Oryctolagus cuniculus: one gene and its partners. The protein of the gene in region 2 interacts with the protein of the main gene of each other region in a biochemical or structural test. Links are inferred from orthologs where the notes say so. Each region holds a gene or a part of one and is shown on either strand. Other genes may lie near its edges. The genes, in order: RAB11FIP1, RAB11A and RAB11FIP4.

Evidence for each region.
Region 1: the proteins of RAB11A (region 2) and RAB11FIP1 form a complex in vitro, tested with the Homo sapiens proteins (2 studies listed by BioGRID, with this or other methods). The link is inferred for Oryctolagus cuniculus from reciprocal best matches to the Homo sapiens genes RAB11A and RAB11FIP1.
Region 3: the proteins of RAB11A (region 2) and RAB11FIP4 form a complex in vitro, tested with the Homo sapiens proteins (2 studies listed by BioGRID, with this or other methods). The link is inferred for Oryctolagus cuniculus from reciprocal best matches to the Homo sapiens genes RAB11A and RAB11FIP4.

Annotation. Positions count from the first base shown.
Region 1 is NC_091433.1:87,723,869-87,727,505, forward strand, and holds part of RAB11FIP1 (rab11 family-interacting protein 1), read right to left. Parts: intron 608-3,637; coding exon 168-607; intron 1-167. UniProt on the Homo sapiens protein: A Rab11 effector protein involved in the endosomal recycling process. Also involved in controlling membrane trafficking along the phagocytic pathway and in phagocytosis. Interaction with RAB14 may function in the process of neurite formation.
Region 2 is NC_091443.1:88,885,943-88,890,078, reverse strand, and holds the start of RAB11A (ras-related protein Rab-11A), read right to left. Parts: upstream 2,879-4,136; coding exon 2,839-2,878; intron 1-2,838. UniProt on the Homo sapiens protein: The small GTPases Rab are key regulators of intracellular membrane trafficking, from the formation of transport vesicles to their fusion with membranes.
Region 3 is NC_091448.1:42,620,103-42,624,219, forward strand, and holds the start of RAB11FIP4 (rab11 family-interacting protein 4), read right to left. Parts: upstream 2,892-4,117; 5' UTR 2,855-2,891; coding exon 2,696-2,854; intron 1-2,695. UniProt on the Homo sapiens protein: Acts as a regulator of endocytic traffic by participating in membrane delivery. Required for the abscission step in cytokinesis, possibly by acting as an 'address tag' delivering recycling endosome membranes to the cleavage furrow during late cytokinesis.

The DNA of each region.
Region 1 (3,637 bases), on a different chromosome or scaffold from region 2:
ATAAAAATTTTAAGAAAGAAATCGAGTTGGCCTCTTTGCTGAGATTACCCGTCACCATCATCATTTTAGGGACTGGGGAGCTGAATAAAGATCTCCAGATTGGTCTCCCTCTCAAAGCACAATGGACGAGGGCAGAGAGACCAGGGGCGGAGGAGGCAGGGACTCACCGTCGGCGGCAGAGGAGGGCTCGTCCTCATCCTCATCGCCCCAGCGGGACTGCAAGTCCCCGGGGCGCAGCAGCACCTTGTCCGGCTTCGAGGTCGGCAGGACAGACATGGACTGGGAGAGCGGTGTCTTCTGCAGGTTCGACTTGGAAAACAAGGTCTTGATCTTGGACTTCTTCTTCTTGTCTTTGGAAGGAGCCTCGTCGTCGCTGTCCGCGGAGGCCATCGTGCTGGGGACGATGGCCGAGGCGGTGTCGGAGGCGCTGTCCTTGCTCTTGCCTTTGATCTTGTCCTTGAGCTTCCCGAATGGGTTCCGAGACTTGTCCTTCACGGACAGGTCGAACATGCTGGCCGTCATGCTGTTCCTCATGAACTGGATGTCCACCTCGATCTCCCCTCGCTCCTTGTCCTGCTTGCCAGGCTTGGATCTCAAGCGGTACCACCTAAAGGGAGACAGGTGAGGGGTCACCTTGGGACAGAAGTGCCCGAAACAATGCCCCACCTCCCAGTGACGGTCCCTCCTCTCTGCTCTACCAACCTCGTACACACACACACACACACACACACACGAGTTAGCCTTTCTCTTTACCGGCTGAGGGCAGAACCTGTGCTGTTATTTATTTATTAAGATGTATTTATTTATGTATCTATCTGAAAGTCAGAGTTAGAGAGACAGAGACAGAGAGAGATCTTCCATCTGCTGGTTCACTCATCAAGCGGCCGCAACAGCCAGGCCAGCAGGAGCCTGGAACTTCGTCCAGGTCTCCCACGTGGGTGGCAGGGGCCTACACACTTGGGCCATCTGCTGCTGCTTTTTCCCCAGGTGCATTAGCAGGGAGCTGGATTGGAAGTGGAGCGGCCAGGACATGAACCAACGCCCATACGGGATGCCGGTGTTACAGGTGCCGACTTTACCCGCTATGCCACAGTGGTGGCCCTGAGTTCTCATTTCTGAGACGGCAATGACGACATCTGATGTACTACTTAGTGTATGATCCCCTAAAACCCTGATTCAACAAAGAGCTATTTCTAAAGATAAAGAGACAGACATTCCATCAAATCACTTCTGATCCATGTATGTTTCCTCAACAGAGTAAGGACGCAGAGATTATGCGCAAACAGCTAAGAAAGTGGCACTGGAGCTTACAGGTGGATCTCAGAGAGGGACAGGTACTGAGCCCTTCAGTTAGGTGCCTGCCTCCCACTGCACAGTACCTGGGCTTGATACTCCGGCTCCTGACTGCGGCCGCCCAGCAATGCAGACCCCAGGAGGAGGTGAGATGACTCCAGTCACTGGGCTCCTGCTACCCCATGGGGGATGCAGATTATGTTCCCAGCTCCCAGCTCCGGCCCCTGCCCAGCCCCAGTCATTGAAAGCATTTGGGTAGTAATCAGCAGATGGAAGATACTTTCTCTCTTGCTCTCTCTTCTTTAAAGAATAACTGAAAAAGACACAGTTAAAAATGAAAAAAGGTGGGGGGGGGGCTGGCTCTGTGGCATAGCAGGTAAAGCTGCCACCTGCAATGCAGCATCCCATATGGGTGCCGTTTGGGTCCCAGCTGCTCCACTTCCGATCCAGCTCTCTGCTATGGCCTGGGAAAGCAGTAGAAGATGGCCCAAGTCCTTGGGCCCTGCACCTGCGTGGGAAACCCAGGAGAAGCTCCTGGCTCCTGGCTTCGATCGGCAGAGCTCCGGCCGTTGCAGCCAACTGGGGAATGAACCAGTAGATGGACAACCTCTCTCTCTCTCTCTCTCTCTCTCTCTCTCTCTGCCTCTCAAGCAAACTGATTTTTTTTTAAAGGTTTTATTTATTTGAGAGTTAGAGTTACAGACAGAGAAAGGGACAGAGAGGTCTTTTATCCACTGGTTCACTCCCCAAATGGCCACAACAGCTGGAGCTGGGCTGATCTGAAGCCAGGAGCCTCTTCCAGGACTCCCATGCAAGTGCAGGGGCCCAAGGACTTGGGCCATCTCCTACTGCTTTCCCAGGCCACAGCAGAGAGCTGGATTGGAAGTGGAGCAGCCGGTACTAGAACTGGTACCCATATAGGATGCCAACACTGCAGGCAGAGAATTAACCTACTGTGCCACAGCACTGGCCCCGCAAAATTAATTTTAAAAAAATAATAAACATGGGGCCAGCTCTGTGGCAGCATCCCATATGGGCACCAATTCAAGTCCTGGCTGCTCCACTTCCAATTTACCTCCCTGCTAATGGCCTGGGAAAGCAGTGAAAGATGGCCCAAGTGCTTGGGCCCCTGCACCCGCATGGGAGACCCTGAAGAAGCTCCTGGCTCCTGGCTTCAGCCTGCCTGGCTGTTGCGGTCATTTGGGGAGTGAACCAGCAAATAGATGATGTCTCCTTTTCTCCCTCTCTCTGTGTGTAACTGCGCCTTCCAAAGAAGTAAACGAATCTTTAAAAAATAATAATAAATGTGTCATAAAGTGACAAATACAACATAATTCCACGTACATGAACTACTCCAGGTAGTCAAATTCGCGGAGACAGAAAGCAGGATGGTGGCTGCCAGGGGCTGGCAGGGTGGGAAATGGGAGTCAGTGTTTGAGGGGCACAGAGCCCGAGCCGGAGACATGGAGCAGTCCTGGCGGTGGACTGGCGGTGCCAACCACACGAGGATGCATACGGGTGTGAGGTCACAGCTGTGCACCTAAGACGGCTCCCACGTGACTTTTATGTTACGTGTATGTTGCCGCAGTAAAAGACAGGGAGACACTGGAAGGCAAGTATTCTTCCTTAGCCGAATCATTAGAAAAAGGGGCAATGCAAACCTGATTCAGATATCTCACTCGGCCACTTGCAAGCAACTGCAGCACACGCCACAAGGCCACCCCAACCCACGGCGTCCACCTTCCTGGGAGCCCAGTAGGTATCTTCGGCAGACCAGAGGGGAACGTGTGCTCCACCAAGGCAGGACCATTGGGGGCCGAGCACCTGCCCGGCCTCCGTAGGCCTGGCTGCCCGCTACCTCTCAGACTCAGAACCCACATCCTGACATTTTTTCAGTGACCTACTTTGCAAGAGCCGAGGGCCAGACTTTAAGGAAATGATGGTTTTGCCCACATGAGCACAACTTCCTCTTTCACCTTCAGCAGGGGCTCGCTCACAGGGCAGGTCAGGGGGGACAGAGGAGGGTAGAAACCTCACCCATCCACAGCACCCATGGCACACCTGGCACGGTGCATGTACGGCTCCAAGAATGGCTTGGGGTGGACAGCGTACCCACTTTACAGACGCGTACACTGACACTCAGAAGTTAGATTCTTGGATCCTAGGCCTTGCACACTGCTATGGGGACGGCCAGGACCCCGCATCAGCTCTGCATTTCCCCAAAGCTCCTGCTCCTTCGCATCCACCCAGATTCCCACCGTAACTTAAATCCCCTCGTTTGTCTTCCATGGCCCATCTTTTGGAACACAAGGAGTGGAGGGCTCACCGCTCAGTTCCTTTTGAG
Region 2 (4,136 bases):
ACTACCTTCACTGGGATTGTTTCCACTGACAATCAGCTGACGCCTAATTACTACTGACCTCCACCGAGAGGAAAGAAAGGGCGGTGAGCAAGACTGCACACCCAGATGCTTTCAGAACAAGTGACTTAGACTGGACCGGTGTCTGATACCGTGTTTGTCAACAGGAACTACAGCCGCTGCCTACTTCATTTATGTGTCCCTCGGGATCTTACCCATGTTGTGCGTAAATACTTAAAGAACTGCAGTTTTTAAAATAAAAAGTCAAGCTTCAAAAAATAAAACCAATCCCCCCAACCAAAAGCTTCACTGCTGAGCTTGAGTGAAGATTAATGTGCAAGAACAAATACGTAATTTAGAATAACTGTCCTACGCTCCCCACATTAGATTCCCATTTAGACCACGCCGTCCCACGCTGATCCAAACAACCCTTCATTTCCAACTGGTTAGAGTTACAAATTAACTCCACTTCCTTCAGCTATTAAGTCTGCTAGGTAAGACTTCTTTGAAGTAGAGACAGCAATGGTTCATCTCAGTGACCAAATCTCTGTAGAAGGAAACCATTTTAAAGTAAAATTATTCTTGCCTAGCTTTAAAATGAGAATTGTATAAATAAAGAGACTGGCTAAATAATCAAGCATTGAAGTTAAGAAAAAAAAAAGGTGACTCATATCCTGTAAGAGCTTCGAAGGCATGGAAATCCTCCTCAGCAGAATTTTTAAACACCATATTTTAAACAGCACAACAAGATGAAGCCCTAACCCATGAACATAAAATAGTTGAAGTTCCTACTTCTATGCTTCTTTAATAATATGTAAATGCTCTTCCGTTTAGAAATAAAGTTCAAAAAACGGACAAGATCCACAGTAACTTCCTTCAATGCACTGAGCCCTCACAGGAGCTAAAGTCGTAACTGCCCGGCAGGCTTGATCAGCCAGTCCCGGAGTTTGCTTCAGAGCTGGGGCTCCAAACACTTAACTTTCCCAAGGTCGTAAACCCAAGAGCAGAGTGGAATGTGAACTCAGGTGTCTGTGGTTCCAAAACCCTGTGCTCTCAATGTTACAAGGATGGTCTAATTCCTGAAACCAGGATGGCTAATATTCTGGGGTTGTTTTTTTCCCCAACATTCCAGTTCCAAACCAATCAGGAGAAAAACCCTGAGAGTCTACCTTGCTCTAAAGTACTTCAAAGGTAGCTAACTGCCCATGACATTGTAAAGGATTTGAAAAACAAACAAAAACCTGCCTTTAATGACTAAACCCAAAAGGCTCCAGGGACTGAAGTAACTTCCCATCAATTCCGACGCCTTCTGCAAAAAGTACACAAACTAATGCAGGTCTCCTTTTCGTCTCTGTAAAGTGAACCGAGTGCCTTTTTCACTGTAATGACTTTCCAACACGGAGGTCGTAGACATCGAAGGTACCCAGCCTATACTCACCCTATACATAGAATATTCCACCTCGGAGGACTAAGGTAAGAGCATATTATCACCGAGATTTGCAAAAGTATTGGTAAAGCAAAGCAATGGTTCCTGCTTCCTTCGGTCAATCATTCTAAGCAACCAATGGCAAAGTCAGAAACAGTCACCGTGCTCACCACTCTTTCAACTCCGCCTCCACGGTAAAGCTTTAATAGCAATGGCTTCTTCCTCCCCGTAATGATCTTTGTTCAGCTCACTACTGATGGCTGCCCTCACTCAGGAGGGAGGACTACCAGAGCCGAGCGCAGCCACTGAACAAAAAGCATTTACTGGACTCGTCTCTTACGGAGAACTGAGCCCTTCACCTTCGCTGATTAAAAAACAAAAACTCTGGATTCTCCCCGACTCCTCTCGCCTCTCCCCACGCTCCAATTACGTACTGTCCAAGGGCACACACGTTCCCCTCTCTGATCACCACGGTTTAAATGGACCCGAAGAGCACACAAGTCCCCTCTCCCTCCTTTTGGGAAAGGTAGGCGGCCCACTAGGGCTCTTCCCTTCCTGTTGGATCCTCCCAGGGTTGCAGCAGGAAGCAACCAGTCCACAGTGATAAAGCAGGCTAGTATTTGTGCAGCGCGCAACCTTTCCTGCTCAGGAACTGGGCCTTCAGGTCTGGCCGGGATAACAGCCACCACCCATCCGCAACCCCTTCCCGCGAGCCGCGTACCGAGTGATCCCGGGTTGGCTGCAGCTGGGTCGGAAGAGGAGTTAAAAAAAAAAAAAAAAAAGGCTAGGTGGGAAGTCCCCGCCGGTCGGGCCACTGCGACAAGTGCACGCAGGGGTGATGGACAAGCCCCCCGGCCCTCGGCACAGAGTTCCCAACTCGGGGGTGGGCGGCGGCCGGCCCGTGAAGGCTGCGCGGCGGGTGGGGTGGGGTGGGGGCCCGAGCCGGGGAGCGGGGGGCGGCCGCCCGAGGGGAGGGGCGACGAGAAAGGCTCGCGCGGGGGAAGGGGACACGCAGGGAAAAGCCCCGCGGTGGGAGCCTGAGCCGAAGGGCAGGCCCAGGGAGCGGCCCGGGGCCTGTCACCAAGGCCGGGAGGGGATGGAGCCGGCCCGGGCTGATGCTGCGAGGGAGAGGTCGCGGGCGGGAGGGGCGCGGGGCCGCGGTGGGGGAGGACACGCGCGCACACACGCGCGCACACACGCACACAGCGAGGGGCGCCGAGGCCTGGCGGGAGGCGGCCGTGGGGACGCCGGTGCGAGCGGCCGTGGGAAGCTCCGTGCGGGGACGGCCGGACGACCCGCAAGGAAAGGAAGGGCTGAGGCAGGCCCATTTTGGGGCTGGGGCAGCCCGCACGCGGGTCCCCCGGGAGTGTCCCGAGCCCCCCGAGGGCGGACAGGGCCGGGGGCCACGGCCTCACCTTTGAAGAGGTAGTCGTACTCGTCGTCGCGGGTGCCCATGGCGCGGCCGAGAGGCGAAGGGGCGGGAGCAGCGGCGGCTTCGGTGGGACCAGGGGGCGTCGCTGCAGGGGTAACCCGAGCGCGGAGCCTCAGCTGCCGGACCGGCTGGAGAGCCCCGCCCTGCCGCTGCGCCACTTCCGGCAGGCCCCAGCCCCTGAGGGAAGTACTTCCGGGGAGGTGGCGTCCCGCCCCCAGCCGGGGACGGGCGGTGCGTCGGCGCCCGCTGTAGCGTCAGTCCTCAAGTCTCACCCTCCGAAAGAGTTTCAGAGGACGAAACCCTGAGTCCCGGCTTCCCAGCTGGTGCCAGTCGTAGTGGCCTCTTGTTCATTTCTGGCACCGCCCAGCCGGGCAGCGGGGCGCGGGAGCGCGTGGAACCCGCTTCTGATGGTTGGGTGTGCGATGGGGGCGGGGTTCTCTAAGGATTAGAGGGCCGGAGCCGGCAGCACACGCGTGGCGGTTCCATGGTGTAATGGTTAGCACTCTGGACTCTGAATCCAGCGATCCGAGTTCAAATCTCGGTGGAACCTGCTCAGCTTGCTTTTTCTTTTTCCTCCCCGAAGTCACATTTTTATTTACTTCACTTATTTGCATTTCAACAAATGTGACATACTGGGTCTTGCCTTTGGTAGGGTGAGAATTAGAAAAAGTAAAATATAATATTCGCCTACGAAGACCTCTGCCCCCTGGGGTGCTCGTCCTTGGCCTCTTCGCCCTCTATAGCGTGGACCCTCTGCCTCCAGCTTTGATTCAGAAGCTTCAGTGAAACTGAATTCCTCTTGCTGGAATTGCCCGTCCTCAGCCTCAGTCAGTACAGGATCCCCTCACCCGCTCCTCCCTGGAAATGTGTCGGATGCTCTCCATACATTGCCACCGTCCTCATCAACAGTCATCAGGAAAGAGTCCCATCTGGTGGCCGCCTACGTCCTCACCGGACAGGCAGAGCACGGGCTGCCCCTTGTCCTTTGACCCGAGTGATCCGCAGAGCTTCCTGGTATTTGGAGAATTCTGTGAATGCCAAAGAAAAGCCTCACAGACAAAGCCTCCCCCGCCCCTTAGTATCACAGTCCCACCGCCTGTGTGCAAACTCAGTTTACACTCTGGTCCAAAAGTGTCTGTGAACTATGACCCCACCCCCTATTGCCACCCCCACTCCCTGCTCCCCCACAGAATGCCCACCGCTGACACCTTGAGTTTCGCCCAGTGAGACCAGCATTCAAAAGTTTGTGATCATTGGTTAGGGCAGGAATAAAAATAAAAT
Region 3 (4,117 bases), on a different chromosome or scaffold from region 2:
ACACAGCCTGATCTCAACAGTCAAGATATAAAAAACTAAAAACAAACAAACAAAAACCCAAATTGCATTAGCGTGAGCGAGGCCGAGGGGCCAAACAACCGGACGCACGGCACTTTCCCAGAGAGGAGCATGGCTTGAACATGACAGCACAAGTGGACATTTTGAGGTCAGACGGGGAAATCTGAAAAAGGTCTGCATATGAAATGAGATGAAAATTTACTGAAGCAGAAAAATAATGATCATTTCCTGGAACAGAAATTAGGTTACAAAACAGTATGCACAGCATGATCTCATTTTATGCAGGAAATCTACATCTAAGCTTAGAAACAGCCCCGGAAGGATCCGCCCGAAGTGTCACCACAGGGCTGCTTGGGAGAGGGGAGTGTACTACTGTGATTTTTCTTGTCCACATCTCTAGTTCCCCGTAGTACGTATCAACTGCTTCCGTAAAAATGGACGATTAGACTTAAAAGGCAAGAAATCCCTGGCCGTCCCCCTGCGCAGCCTCCCTGCCTTGCCAGAGGCCTCTGAAGCAGGCCCTGGGGGTCTCAGGGGCCAGAACCCTCCTGTGAGTGCACAGCACGGTGCACTACTGCACAGGCGGCCCCGCTCGGAGCCACCTGTGCGCATGCGTCACATGCCGAGGCTGGAAAGGTCGGGGGGCGGGGCGGGGGTCTCCTGGCTCAACGCCTTCATGTCGCTGGCACTGAAATGGGGCCAGGCAAATAGCTGAGGGCAGCTCCAGGGCGGCACAGAAATAGCCTGCAGAAAGGAAAACAGGCGTGAGTGGGTGGGGAGGCGTGAAGGGGCAGGAGCACTGCTTTAAGTATTTAAAGGCTGCCACGTAGCGCGGAGACCCACGTGAGTCCCTGCACAGAAGAGCGGTGATGATGTGACGTGCAGGTAGTGTGCGAGGGTCTGGCCTGGGATAAGAAGGTGAGGCTTGAGGGGGCACTGGCTGAGGCTCTGGGGTTCTGGGATGGCAGGATTCAGCCTGAGCTGGGCAGCTTCTGCCCCCTGCCTGCAGCTGATGCCCCCAGAGGAAGGGGCTGCTCACCGGCCCCAGATGCTAGGCACTAGCCAAGCAGAGGGGCTTGGCTGATCCTTGAGGGAGCTCAAGGATCTCGGTGGGAGAGCAAAAGCCCCTAGCAAGGCCCCGCAGAGGGGAGGGCGGACCCTAAGGGGAAGCTGAGGCTTCTTGAGTGACACCTGCCCCACTCTGACTTACTGCTCCCAGGGCCTCCTAGGCACTCATGGACAGATGGTGATCTCCCACCTCCCACCTGCCAGGTGACAGAGAGGCACGGGCCGACCAGGCCATCACCTGGCTTTTCTCCTGTTCTAAGATGCCAGGCCTGCTGCGGACACTGTGGCACAGGGGGCTAAGCCGCCACTCGGGACACCTGCAGCCCAGCCTGGAGTGCTCTTCTGGGCCCCAGCCTCTCAGCTTCCAGCTCCTTGCTGATGCACCTGAGAGGTGGCAGGTGACAGCCCAAGTGCCTGGACCCTGGACACCCATGTGGAGATCTGGGATCCTGGCTTTGTCCTGGCCGGGTCCTGGCTGTTGCAAGCATTTGGGGAACAAACCAGTAGATGGAAGATCTCTCTCTGTCTCTCTCTGTTGCTCTGCCTTTGGCGTAGATGAAAATAAACAAACTTTATATATATATCTGTATGTGTATATATATATACACACACACATATATACATACACACACACACACACACACACACACACACAGTCCTGACCCATCTGTCCTGGGAACAAGATCTCGGCCAGCGCCCACCTGAGGTCTAAGGCCCAAAGCTTTCTGTGCAGGGCTCTAGGTCTTAGGCAGCCATGGAAGCTGCTCAGGACTTGTGTCCCCAGAAGAGAACTGCGCCCATATCAGAACGCGCAGTGCCCTCCCTGTCCTTCCCTAAGGCACAGTCACCAGTCCCAGCGCTGATGGCAGGAAGAGGGCACGCGGTTATTGGGCTTTTGTCCACCCACCCGTAGTACCGGCTTTCTGAGTCCAGCCCTGCTAACAAGAGGCACCGGTGCCGCCTTCCCCCAGATGGGCCTCAGCACAAAAAACCACTCCGCTCACTACCATCGCTAAGTTTGGCTCTGGCAGGCCTTCGGCAGCCACCACAGCCAGCTGCCAGCCAGGCCTGCCCATCAGAGCTCCAAAGGGAGGTGACCGGGCACTGGGCTCAGAGTCCAGCCTGGCCGCAAGCAGGATGTTCTAAGCAGGGTGGGTGCATCCAAGGGGCCAAGGCTGCGGCGCGCCCCCGCTGGGCCCCTCTCCACCTGGGCCAGGCCCAGCGGGGGCGCACAGACCCGGCGTGTGGTCTCCGCAGCATGGGGTGGCGACCTGAAGCCAGCTTCTGACAGCTGCTTTCCCCCCAAACACCAAGTGGGTCTGCAGTCCACTCGCGCGCACCCGCACTGCCGGGGAGGAGAGGCGGGCAGGCAGCCACCTGGGCGTGACGCGTGGCGCTCCCGTCACGGGGCTAAGGGTGGAAGCCGGGGTCCGACTACGCAGGGGCACCGCGGGCTCCAGGTGTTCAGCTGCCGCGGAGGGAAGGGTCGGCACGGGAGGGATTTGTCCCGCGAAGAAAGCCACGGCCTGGGGCCCGGGGAGCGGCCGCGGGAGGGGGCACGGGAGGGTGCCGAGGCCCGGCCGGGCCGCCGCCGCCACCACCACCTTACCTCTTCTCCCTGGCCGAAGCGCAGGCCGAGCGCCGCGACGCGCTCCACGCGCAGGAAGCCGTCGGGGTCGCGGCCGCACACCTCGAACACCTGGCGCAGGCGGCGCACGGAGCGCAGCAGAGCCGCGGGGGCGCCCGCCCAGCCCGCGCCGCCCGCCATCCGCGCCGGCCCCGCAGTCAGCCCGAGCCCCGCGCCGCGCGCCGCCGCCGCCGCCGCAGCCCGCCCCGCGCCGCCGCCAGCGCCATGGCCGTGGCCATCGCCGCGCGCCTGGGTGTGCGGCGCGCAGCCTCCGCCCGGCAGCAGCAGCCGATCCGTGTCAGCTGCGGCGCCGCAGCCCCGCCGCTCCCGGCGGGCGGGGGAAGGGGGGGGAAGGGGAGGGGAGGGGAGGGGAGAGGTGGGGGCCGCGGTGCACGCGGGCGCGGGGAGGCGGTGGCGGCGGCGGGGACGCTGCAGACAAAAGGAGCCGCGCGCCCTCCCGAGCGCGGCAGACCTCGCCGGGCAGGCGAAGGAGCGCGCCGCGAACGGCCGCCTCCTTCGCGGACTCAGTTTCCCCAGCTCGCTTCCTCAGCTGGAAAACCGGGAGGGTAGCCGCCCCGCCGCCCCCGGGCGCAGCAGGTGCCGGGAACTCCCTAGCAGCCCGAAAACGCCCCCCACTCCCCTCCCATGGAGAATTCAGTGGTGAGGCGGGGACCCCGGGGCCCCCAGTACCGCGGGCCCCCACCCTGTGGCCAACCCATGCTTGCTGCCCGCGCCCCTGGATGGCGTTTAGCGTTTCCCAAGGCGGAACCGGGGTTTGGCGCTCACTTCTGAGGCAGCTGGGACCCAGAAGGGTTCCTCTGCTTGGGGGAGGCAGGGCCCGGATTCACAGCCGGGTCGGGGTGGAGCTGGGTGGCTCTGGGGGTGCCGGGCCTCCATGGCCCTGGTCTTGCAGGTTTAAGGACCCATGGGTTTATTTTAAAAATGTATCAGTCCCTATCAATGTTAGGTTATGCCGCAGTCTTGGATTTAACCACTCTATCCTAAAAACACGGATCTCTAGATGCCGCAGAGAGATTGAAGATGTACCCAAGAAAAGATGGTTCTTCAGAACCCCTGTTCCGGCCATGGGAAGACTGGCAGGAGAATCCGAGGCCGTATCATTGTAAATCCCATTTTCTTGTAGAATTGGCTTTCTCTTGGAGACAGACCCTTGGCGCCTCGGGCCTGCCTTGAGTGTCCTGGCTGTGACAGTGCCCTGGCTGCTGTCCTGTCTCCTCCTGCCCTCGGGTGCTCCTGTCAGACTCATCTCCCTCAAACTCTTCTCTGGAGAGAAAACCTCTGGGCTCTCGGGGCCTGCAGACACGGCCCCGCCCTGGCCGGCTGTTTTCTTCTGCCACCTGCCACTGTGGTCTCCAGGCGCCTCATCTCCTCCAGGGCCGGTAA